3 linked regions of the Ovis aries genome follow. The protein of the gene in region 1 purifies or fractionates together with the protein of each later gene. This does not show direct contact. Links are inferred from orthologs where the notes say so. Each region holds a gene or a part of one and is shown on either strand. Other genes may lie near its edges. The genes, in order: CDH1, PLEKHA7 and SRC.

Region 1 (3,744 bases):
TCCTCAATCACTCCTGGGGTCCAGCAGGGCCCAGCAGAACATCAATCTGACATGGGCCAAGAAATGGGGGACTCACTGCAAAATCAAGCAGACAACACTTCATTTTTTCCTTTTTGACCCAATAGAAAGCTCCACACAACACAGACGGGCCTCAGAAAAACAAATATGTTTAATCAATCAAACTGCAGTTTGTCTATTAAAAAAAAAAAAAATTGCCTACTGTTGGAACAATTTCCAAAGTTCCAAAAAAATCTTATAGCATGATTGCTGCATTTTTCACGTGACCAAACACTGGAAGAATAAACAGTGAACTCCCTTAGGGGTATTGTGGGTGAGTCTTCCTTTCAAAAAATGTTTCTTTTATTGTTATGATACTCGTCCAATCAACTAAATCAAGAGGGAGGAGAAAGCCCTTTGGTAGAAAATAAGCACCTGGAGATCAGTGAAACCAGAAGAGAAACCAACCTTTCCTTGCTCTCACTCCCGGGCAAAGTGAAACAAACCAAAATCTAGAGTCCTGATTATCACAGTGATAAGACCCTGAAGTACACTGTGTCTGCTTTTCATTCCTGAGTCAGGGCTACCAGGCTTAAAAAAAAAAAAAAACACCAAAAAACCGCACGTGCCACTATTCCTTGGGGAAACAGTACCTGTATAAAAAAATCTTTTTTCATCTCTATGAGCAAAAGCCACAGCCTGGTAACCAAGAGAGGACTCCTCAGTCATCCCAGAGATGCTGAATGGGGCCTGGAAGTCAGAACCTAGATCAGATTCCTACTTTGACCCTGGGGCCAGTGGACTCCACCCTCCTGAGCCTCCCATTTGCTCATCTGTAAAAAAACGGGAATTGCCACCTCCCCCACCACCCTCTTCCCACACATCAGGTTTTAGACGTTGGAAAAGACAGACTTAAAGTGGTCAGGATAATATGAAACACACTGAAGGCCCCTAATAAGTGCCCCCCATAACTAAGTCAACCATACAAGACAGCCCCTCAAACCCAACGTCTATCCTGGCAAAAGTTTAGATCCTCGCATCTGTGTAATCTACAAAGGTGTGTCACCAGAGCCAGGAAAGACGGTGCTCGCCCAGGCCAGCTCGCGGGCGTAGGAGCGCCGTTTCTCCGACCCTGCCCACTCCCACCCCAGGGACACTGGCGGCGCGCCCTCACCTCTGCCCAGGACTCGCCCTCTCTCCAAGTTCCGCCGGGGCACGGTGAACGTGTAACTCTCAGCGCCAAAGCCAGGCACGCAGGGCTCCGGCTCCTGGCAGAGCCACGATGAGACCTGGGGTAGGGGAAAGGTATGAAACCGGGGTGACTTGGTGGGGGGGGGGGGTCTCCTCTTATTCACACCGAAACCAGCAGCGCCTCCCTTCCCTCTGCTGGCACCAGGACTGTGGGAGGGGTGGGCCCGCCCCGCCCACTCCCCACACCCCCCCAACCTCCCCACCCCCTCCATTCTCCCGCATTTCCCCCACCCCCATTTCCCCCCATTCCTCCCCACAGGGCAGCCAGCCAGCCACGTCAAACTCTTTCATTCGGAAACCTGTGGCCGCCAAGCCTTCAGGACTTCTCAGGAGGGAAGGCTGCTGGCTCCCCTCCGGCCTCAGCAGCGCTTTCCTGAAAGTCTCCTTTTCAATTTCATCGGAGGCATCTTTACTCTTCCCAATTCCACTCTCCCTATACCGGGACCGCTCGCACTCCTAAGTCCGGTTCCTCAGACCGCCGGCGCTCCAGCCTCTTCACATCCTTTCTTATCCCGGGGAGGGTGGGGGGCATACCTATTCACTACACTTTACAGGGCAGGTGACTTTATCTGTTGGTTCCGCTTTCCTTTCCTCGTTCCCACTACTCCCGGCTCCGCCCGGACTTACACCGGGGCTCCCCATCCCTACTCCACGCCCTCTACTCCCCGCCCGTCGCCCACCCGAGTACCCGGAGGCTGCAGCGAGGCGCGCCCCCACCTCTGGCTTTTGCGGGAGGCCGTCCGCAAAGCCGTACTCGCCCTTCACCCTCACTGGCTCCCTCTCCCACTCCCTTCCCCATGGAGTCCAGAGCGCGGCGCAGTTTCCGGGCCATTCAGGCCCTTTGGACCCAAACTTTTTTAGAATAAGAGGGAGCAGGGGACGACAGGAGGGAAGAGAGGAGTTTGGGGGCTGGGGCGCGGCTTATGGGGCCGGAAGGCATCCCGCGCAGTCAGGGGACCCAACGTACCTGCAGCAGCAGCAGGAGCGCAGAGAGGTTGCGGCACCGAGGGCCCATGGCAGGCCGGGCGCGGGCTGAGTAGGATCTAGCTGAGTTGGGCCGGGCTAGAGTCTGGCAGAACTTCTACGAACTCACAGGTGCTAAGAGGCTCCGGACGCCACTGAGCTGCGGGGCGCCGCGGGAGCCAGGTGAGCCTCGACGGCCCCGCCCCCGGCACCAGGATTGGCTGAGGATGCACCTGCCGGCCTCAACCAATGAGCGGCGCGGCAAGGCCTCCGCTTCCTCCGCTGACTGGGGCGGACGCTCCGCCCCGGAGCCGCGAGCAGACCGGGTGATCTGAGAGTAGTCAGAGTAACGCAATGGTAGGGGCTCCACGATTCCCGTTACCATTAGACTTGAATACCAGCCTCGCGGTGGCTCACCAACATCTGGCGCCAGAGAGATTTCACCCTTTACCTACTTCAGATCTCCATCGCTTCTTGAATCGACAGATCAGTTCACTGGGCAGAATCTTCCCTTTCAAAGTATCAGTTTCTTCACCTACTAAATGGTAAAATAATCACAAATCCCTTCCTGTGTTGTTGTGAAGTTGTCATACAATTAATTAAGACCAATGTTTCGTGCACCACAAAAGCTCTATGCAGATGTGAGGGACAATAAGTAACGATTGATACTGGGCATTAAAAGTTACTGTGTCACAGGCTCTGTGCTAAGCATTTGACATTAACCATCTTACTTCATCTCAAAACAACACAAGAGTTGTGCTATTATTCCCATTTAATAGAGGGACAATCCAGGCATAAAGAATTTGAGGCCAGTAGGAAGTAGTAGCTCAGATAGTAAAGAATCTGCAAGAATAACTAGCTTCAATGTCCCATGCAAGGGACTTTATCTTTCCTTTTACCCTGGGTTCAATCCCCTGATGAGGAAGATCTGGAGAAGTGAATGGCAACGCACTCCAGTATTCTTGCCAACAGAACTCCATGGACAGAGGAGCCTGGTGGGCTACCGTCCATGGAGTTGCAAAGACTGGGACACAACTGAGCCACTTTGATATATAGAAGACTGGAACCCACCTCCACCGCCTGTTCTATTGGCTTCAGCTCATGTGGCCCCACATAATCTTCCAGCTGGAGCTGGAGGTTTCAATCTGTCCTTTAATGTTGACAGGAAGAGATCCATCAGAGATCAGCCAAACCTGTCATTTGCAAATAACTCGCTTCAATGTCTCATGTAAGGGACATTATCTTTCCTTTTACCCTTGAAGCATGATCAGAACTACAGTGTGTTTAAAAAGAAATGGTAATTATGTGATATGATGGGGGTGTTAGCAATGAGTTAGGTATGTGTTAGCTAAGTGTTAGCTATTATGGTAGTAATCATTTTGCAATATATGTGTCAAATCAACATTTTGTTTCTGATAAATGTGTACAATGTTATATGTCAATTATTTTTCTTTTGCTATAAAAACCCCAAAATGTATTTATTTAATATATTCATCACAAGGGTTTAACCACACTTAATTTAAAAAACAGAAA
Region 2 (3,644 bases), on another chromosome or scaffold:
TGAAGCCGAGCCTGTCCCATTCAGGGCAACACCCCCTGTGCCCCTGGGAGGGTGGGTCAGGCTGCAGTCTGAAGACCATGCCTCAGAAGGAATGAGGCATGAAGGAAGCCCCCGCCCTCACCTCTCTGCTGATGTCCACGTCATAGTCTTGTGGTTCCAGGTCCAATTCAGTGACAGGCATGGCCTGCACCTTCAGCCAGCCATTCTCTTCCTTGTCCTTTCTGTCCCCTTGAACAGCCCGTTCCAGCAGCTGCAGGTCAAAGTCCTGCTCACGCTTCCACTGGCAACAGAAGGAGAGGGTGAAATGTAGTCTCTTCCTGACCGGCCCTTTTAGGTGGGTCTTTTGGGCACCAGGGTCCTTGGGAAGTTGGGTCTGTGACTCGTTAGGGAAAAGCTGTATGACCATGGACCTCAACACCGTCTCTGACAGAAGGCAGCAGCGGTCTGTGAGATGGATGCTCCGTGTGTGTGCTCAAACTGTGTGACAGAGAGAACAGGGCCCAACTCCAGACTGCTCATGTCTCTCTGACCTGGCCCCCGGGTGTTCCGACCTCCAGGGCACAGGTCTGTGATCCACGACTTTAGACTTACAATAGTCCCCAGGGATACAGGAAGCCTCCAGGTCCCAGAAGGTGACCCCCAAACAGAATGTGGGACAGAGCTCCAGAGAAGGGGTTTGCTGCTTCTGCCACCTGATAGCTCATGGAAGCCTTTCCTGGTTCTGGAGTCCTATGTCCCAGCTCAGAAACAATGGAAAAACAAAACCCTCTGAGGCCCTGGTAAGCAAGGAGGGTAGCCAAGATGCTCTCTCGTGGGATTTCCCAAAAGGACACAGTGAGGGCTGGGGAGGTACAAGCAGGAGCAGCTGAGGACCACTGAGGCAGGTAAGCTGCTGTGTGCCAGGCATCTATTTAAGTTGGAAAACCAAAGCCGTGTAAGATTTAAATGCTAAATCAAACTCAACATTCCCAGCTCTGTAATGAGCAAGCTTCACAGAGGGAAAGTCTAACCCAGCCACTTTAAGATCCCAGCACAGAGAATGGAGACACATACATATGGCTGAAACTATCACAACATTGTTAATCTGCTATATGCCAGTATAAAATAAAAACAAAACCCAGTACAATGGTTGGGCTCCACTTGGGCCTTCCTAATCACCTGTGGCCTTTGTCCCCACAGAACTCCATGTTGAGCAGGTTGCCAAGAGGAGGTGATGGGCTCAAAGCCTCCCTTTTCTTGTGCAGAAGCCAAGCAGAAACTTCTCCATCCCAGGCTGCCTCCTCCCTCTCTCACCTCATCCACCTCACAGAGCCCCGAGTGGTCACAATCGTCTTTAATGTCCCCTCCGGCCCCACTCACCCAAGCCCCAAACCCATAGCCATAACAGCACATTTCACCCACTCATGCACAAGCTCTCAATACTGACTCTACGTCAACGTAATCGCTCTCAGGTGATGGCTTCCTACCAAAGTATGAAAGGATTAGACAGCTGAAGATTCGGGGATGAAAATTTAATTTAATGATTGATTCACAAAGAATACACACATTTTCTGACACGCTCACCAATGCCCCAAATAGAGACAGGTCCTCACATAAACCCAGCCTGATTGCTTCCACAGACAGAAAAAGTTCACTGGACTGTACAGTGTATCCTGGGGAAGAACCACGCCAATCCATCATCATTAAGCAACACGTTTATTGGCGCTGAGGCAGAGACTTAACACAAGTCTTTTTTAAAGAGAAAAAATTACAAAGTATTCAAGTTACGATTTTTAGATCATTTTTCTACATTTGAGACATCAGGTTGTAAAAACTCAGTTTTATCTCATAAGACATTTACTTACAAAGTTTAAAAGTTACTGGCTTTGCAGCTTTTTAGGATATGAGTGTGCTGGGTCTTATCCCTTTGGTGTCTGAGCTAACAGCTGCCGAGAGGCCCTCTGAATACAGATCATAACGTATCTTGCTACCTGTTCAAGTTATAAAATACTACAACACAAAAAGTTTTCCATAAGAAATTGTGCCGATGGGGCTGGAGGAATTAAAACTGAACCACCTCAGACTTGGCAGAACTTATTCAAACGTGCAGTCTCTGAAGTCCATGCCTACTATCCCAGTATAAGGCATGGACTTTAATAAATTCATCACGCCCAGACCTCTGGCAAAGACCACCGCCCTTGGGCAGTGGGGCTGGCTCAGCCTTGCGGGGCGGCTTTGGGGATAAGTGAATTATGAGTCAGTAAGCCTGCATAAAGGGGGCAGCAGACAGTGAGTCACACATGGGAGTGCTCGCTAGGCTATGGAGAAAAGAGCTGCTATTGTAAGCCTAGTAACAGGAGCACAGGCCAGTTAGAGAATGGTGGATGCAAATTAGAAGCTTCTGTAAACACAATCAGGCAGGATTAGAGAGGCAATGAGCAGTAACGCTAAAAGCAAAAGAGCTTGTGCAATGAATTAGGGAAAGAACAGTCAGGCTAGAGGTCTAGGGAAACATTTGATTTCAAACAATAGAGAAAAATCCAATGGAATGTTTCCAAAAGGGACCTAAGGCGACTGTGGGCAGGGTGCAGTGCCTGGAAGCACCACCAGAGGGCAGCAGGCAGCCTGGCTCTCCGGGGGCGCAGGGCCTGTCCGCACCGCTAGCTGTGGGGGACACCAGGCCCTCAGGGGTGTACTCTGCTCAGTCGCTCCCCAGGGCATCTGCTTGGAGGTTTGGGAGGCTAGTTGACTTGCACTCCTCAAATCATAGCACCATCTTTCTCCTCCACTCCTCCAACTCTGTACTTCCCAAGTCCTGGGTTCAGGTGAGAGACTCAGAATGCCGAAGAAGGGCCTCTCCCTCAAGCTCGACTGGAGACCTGACCGTGGACGCTTCCTCTGGCTCCTGGGCTCCTGCCGTGACAGCCTCACCCTTTCTCTAGTTCGGGGCACCCTCCGACCAAGCCACTGACGCGGCCTGGCTTGTGGACACACAGCCCACGGGGTGTTCTCTGAGCCACTCTCTCGGGGGTGAGCCGGGCTTGGGTCTGGGGGCCTCGGGGAAGCTCTGCTCCCTGCCCCAGCCCCGCCTGCCTGGACCCTCCTAACATACTGAGCCGAGGTCTCCCGGGAGCGCTTGGCTGAGGTAGCGGGCCGAGGGCAGCCCCGTCCTCTCTCCTTGGCTCAGCGTCCTCTTGCGCTCCCGGACCAGCGCCTTCTGGTGCCGCTTCATGCGCTCCAGCTGCTCCTCCGCACTCATCTTGCCCCGCTGGTGGTCTCCTGAGTACAGGCGCTCCAAGGCACTCTTGGGTCTCTGAGGGGCAGGGGGAGCAGACAGGGCGGCTGGGCTGAGACCAGAGGGCGCGCGGCCACCTGGCTTCAGCCCAGTCTCTCTTACACGCATGCACGCACGCACGCGCGCACACACACACATACTCTCGCCTCTAAGCACACTGAGACACATACACACACGCACACACGCACACACACACACTCTCCCTCTCCCCTCTAAGCACACTCGGGGACATGACAACCCAGCCCTCACGGGCCCTCTGGCAGCACCCAATCCTGCAGATGCAGACCCCGAGGCCCAGGCCTGCCCAGTGGGCACACCTGCACCGCGTGATGGACCAGAACTCAGGGTGTGGCTCACTGGGTGAGAGCGG
Region 3 (3,744 bases), on another chromosome or scaffold:
CAAAAGCAGACAAGCAGCTCTTAGAGGAGAGGGCACTCCCGGCAGGGAAACCCTCAGGAGCAAAGGCCCTGGAGTCACACAGGAGGGCCTAGGCAGGCAGTCAGCTGAGAGGTGACACACTGTAAATCATTTCCTTGGGTGGAAAGACCACATCACCACAGCACACCACCTCACCCAAAGGGCCTCGTGGCATCCACACAATCACTCATCCGAGTCTCTTCCAACACTGTCGTGTGCCTGGTCCCATACTGAGAAACACCCATTCCTCCATCACGGGAAGGGAACAAGGACAGCCCGACCGGGCACTCTGAGCTCTAGGCTCTCATTCCAGCTTCAAACTATGTGGCTCGGTCAAGTCACTTCCGCTCTCAGAGCCTCAGTTTCTTCCCCAGCAAAAAGGGGATACACAAAAGTCCCTACCTCCTAGGAGGTACTCGATAGATGTTAGCAGCTATCATTCTCACAAGCCCATTTTATACTGAACAAACCTGAGGCCAGAAGGAGAAGCGAGTTGTCTCAAGTGCTGGGTGGCAAGACTGCACTGAGGCTGGTTCCTCCTCAAGGGGTTAGGAGGTGGCTTTGGGGACACCGATCCACCCTCTTCTGGAATAAGCCCCACAAGAGCCAGCCATCTCATCTCATGCCCATCTTTTTCAGGCCATTCATCCAGTGCCATGCTCATTTATTGAACACCTACTACATGCCAAGGCCCTACCTGCAGAAGTGCCTACAGGTTTCCCCTGGGGATCCCCACCGCACACAAGCAGACTCAGAGGGGCGGTCCTTTGGCCCAGGTAGCCCAGTGTGACCAGAAGCCGAGGTCTTGTCTCTCCAGCCAGAAAGCCAAGATGAGGGTCAGCAACAGCGTCAGCCTGCTCCATTCTTAAAATCAAGTCTGATCTCAGCTGACTGAAGCCAGGCCTGGAGTCACCCCAGGTGATCCAGAGACCACTGCCCCAACTGGACAGAGTCCCTGAAGCCGGGGACACCTCACCCAGGGCCCCACAGGCTCTGCCGACTCTCAAGTCCGCCTGAAGGCCCCAGAGGTTGAACTGCTACCCCACAGGTGAGCCCCTTCTGTTCACCCAGTCCTTCCACCAGCCCAGTAGGCTCAGCCAGGCCCACAGCTGGACCTGACAAGGGCCCCCAGCTCAGAGAGGGCAGGCAGTTGCTCAAGGAAGCACAGCAGGGCAGGAAAGCGGAGCCCCCACTGGGACTCAAACCCACCACCAACCCCAGCCCAGGCAGGCAGATGGACCCGGCCTGGGGGCCAAATCTTAAACTTTTGCCAACTTCTGAGCAGACCGGAGGTAGGGCCTGCCCAGAGAGGAGGCTGGGGGCTGTGGGCAGCTGGGACCAACCACAGTTTGGCCCAGTCCTTTCCAGGCCGGCAGCACCAGGCCCTACCCAAGGCCCCACGAGGACAAGGAGATCCTGGTGTTCTGGCCCGGCACCCCCTGCCCGGCGCCCCCCCAGGCCCACCCTGCCGGCCCTTCTCCACCTCCCATCCCGGGCTGGGGGCGCCAGGCTGGGTAGCGGCGGCCAGAGGCGGCGCCGACTGGTTCAGATTTCAGATTTGGCCTAGACCTGGCCTGGGGGCTCGGGCCCGGCTCGCTGCTCTCAGGGGGCCCGCAGAGGGAGCATGAGCGGGAGGGGGGGGTCCTCGCGAGGACAAGACCCCTACGCCCCCCACCAAACCCCTCCCCCCCCCCCGCGGCATCACAACAAAAGGCCGCGCCAGACAAGTCCCGGTGCGCCCGCCCTGCGCCCCGGGATCGCCGCTTGGCTCGAGGGGTGAGGTTTGGAGGGGGGCAGGAGCCCCCGCGGCCCAGCGATCGGACGCCAGGGTGGTCCCCGGGCGGGGGGCTCCCTCACGCGGGCCGGGAGCCGGGGCCGGCGGAGGGGCGGGGGGCGCTCACCTGGACCGGCAGGCAGACGGACGCACCGGGCAGACAGACGCACTGGAGGACGGACCGCCGGACGGCCAGGGGTTCGGGCACACGGCGGCCTGGCCGCTCCGGCTCCCGGGCCGGAATGGATTCCGGGCCAGGAGAGACAGATCGAGAGAGAAAGGGAGGCGGAGGAGGAGGAGGAGGCGGCGGCCCGGGGAGGGGAAGAGGAGGGAGGGAGCGCGCGAGCAGGGAGGAGGGGCCCGGCAGGCCGCCGGGAGGGGGAGGAAGAAGGAAGCGTGCCGGGACGGGTCCCCGCCGGTGACCTGGGAGAGTCCCGCGCGCGGCCTCCCCACGCCCGGGGTCCCGGCGGCCAGGGAATGGAAGGGCGGGGGCTCCGGCCACGGAAGCCCCGCCCCCTACCCCGCCCTGAGAGTGCTCCCTTCCCATGGGGCACCCACCCATCAGCTCTCAAGCCAAAATACCCTCCCCAACTCCTCCCAACCCACCCACCCAACTGACCCCAAGTCTACCTCTCATGAAATTATTACTGATAATCAGTAACAGCAGCACTGATGGAGAACTCATTCCTTACCCGGTGCCATGCTAAGCTGTTCAGGTCAACTTTAGGATCTATTCCTACCAACCAAGTGGGCTGGGCAGGCCAATGATCACCCCCATTTTACAGATGAAGAAACTGAGGCACAGAGAAGGGACTCACCTGACAAAAGCCAGGTCTTGGACCCTGGCCTTAACCTGAATTTCCCAAACTGGGGACTGAGACAGGCAGGACAGTGTGGTAAGGAGCAGCATTTTTATCTTAATAGCTATGCATTCATTTTAAAGTGCATCAGAAGAAAAAAAAAAAGTAACTAAGAAGCCAATAAGTTCCAGATAAGGAACTTATAAAGGGCTTCCAGTAAGCCCCTTGCTGCTGCTGCTGCTAGGTTGCTTCAGTCGTGTCCGACTCTGTGCGACCCCACAGACGGCAGCCCACCAGGCTCCACCACCATCACTGGGACTCTCCAGGCGAGAACACTGGAGTGGGTTGCCATTTCCTTCTCCAATGCATGAAAGGGAAAAGTGAAAGTGAAGTCACTCAGTTGTGTCCGACTCTTAGCGACCCCTTGGGCTGCAGCCTACCAGGCTCCTCCGCCCATGGGATTTTCCAGGCAAGAGTACTGGAGTGGGGTGCCATTGCCTTCTCTGAGTAAGCCCCTTAGGAGGGGCCAAAGCAGGTATTCAGTGGCAATTATAGTCAGTGGTAAAGAACCTGCCTGCCAGGGCAGGAGACGTGGGTTCGATCCCTGGCTCGGGAAGATCCCCTAGAGAAGGGAATGGCAACCCACTCCAGTATTCTTGCCTGGAAAATTCCACGAACAGAGGAGCCTGGTGGCAGGTTTCAGTTCATGGGATTGCAAAGAGTCAAACGCAACTGAGCACATGTGCTAGTCCTGCCTTTGGCTTTTCACAGGTCCTCCTGGGATTACTGCACAGGGGAAGGTGGGCCTGAATCCAGCTTTAAATGCCACCATCTGCCTCTGTTTTCCTTCTCTGAAAGTTTTCCCATTTCACAGATGGGAAAGTAAAGCCCAGTCCAGGTCAAATGGTAGAAGCCTGGACTTCTCCTGAGAGGAGCAGGGAGGGAAACTCAAGACTGTGGGAGGCAAGGGCCTCAGGGTACAGTACAGTACCTGGGAGACCAGGAATGAGCAAGGCCTTAAGCTGGACTGATCTGGGTTCAAATCTAGACTGGTTGCCCAGCTGCTGTACCTTCTACGAGTCCATCACCTTCCCCAGCCCAGGTCCCCTCGCCTATGAAACGGGAGTAAACATGTCCACAGACAACTTCCGG

The links.
Region 2: the proteins of CDH1 (region 1) and PLEKHA7 purify together in Homo sapiens (co-immunoprecipitation; 3 studies listed by BioGRID and IntAct, with this or other methods). This does not show direct contact. The link is inferred for Ovis aries from reciprocal best matches to the Homo sapiens genes CDH1 and PLEKHA7.
Region 3: the proteins of CDH1 (region 1) and SRC purify together in Homo sapiens (affinity purification with western blotting; 5 studies listed by BioGRID and IntAct, with this or other methods). This does not show direct contact. The link is inferred for Ovis aries from reciprocal best matches to the Homo sapiens genes CDH1 and SRC.

Annotation. Positions count from the first base shown.
Region 1 is NC_056067.1:35,612,655-35,616,398, reverse strand, and holds the start of CDH1 (cadherin-1), read right to left. Parts: upstream 2,369-3,744; 5' UTR 2,264-2,368; coding exon 2,216-2,263; intron 1,303-2,215; exon of another isoform or gene 1,287-1,302; coding exon 1,172-1,286; intron 1-1,171.
Region 2 is NC_056068.1:35,414,997-35,418,640, reverse strand, and holds part of PLEKHA7 (pleckstrin homology domain-containing family A member 7), read right to left. Parts: intron 3,293-3,644; coding exon 3,092-3,292; intron 281-3,091; coding exon 122-280; intron 1-121. UniProt on the Homo sapiens protein: Required for zonula adherens biogenesis and maintenance. Acts via its interaction with CAMSAP3, which anchors microtubules at their minus-ends to zonula adherens, leading to the recruitment of KIFC3 kinesin to the junctional site.
Region 3 is NC_056066.1:66,271,721-66,275,464, reverse strand, and holds the start of SRC (proto-oncogene tyrosine-protein kinase Src), read right to left. Parts: upstream 2,272-3,744; 5' UTR 1,920-2,271; intron 1-1,919. UniProt on the Homo sapiens protein: Non-receptor protein tyrosine kinase which is activated following engagement of many different classes of cellular receptors including immune response receptors, integrins and other adhesion receptors, receptor protein tyrosine kinases, G protein-coupled receptors as well as cytokine receptors.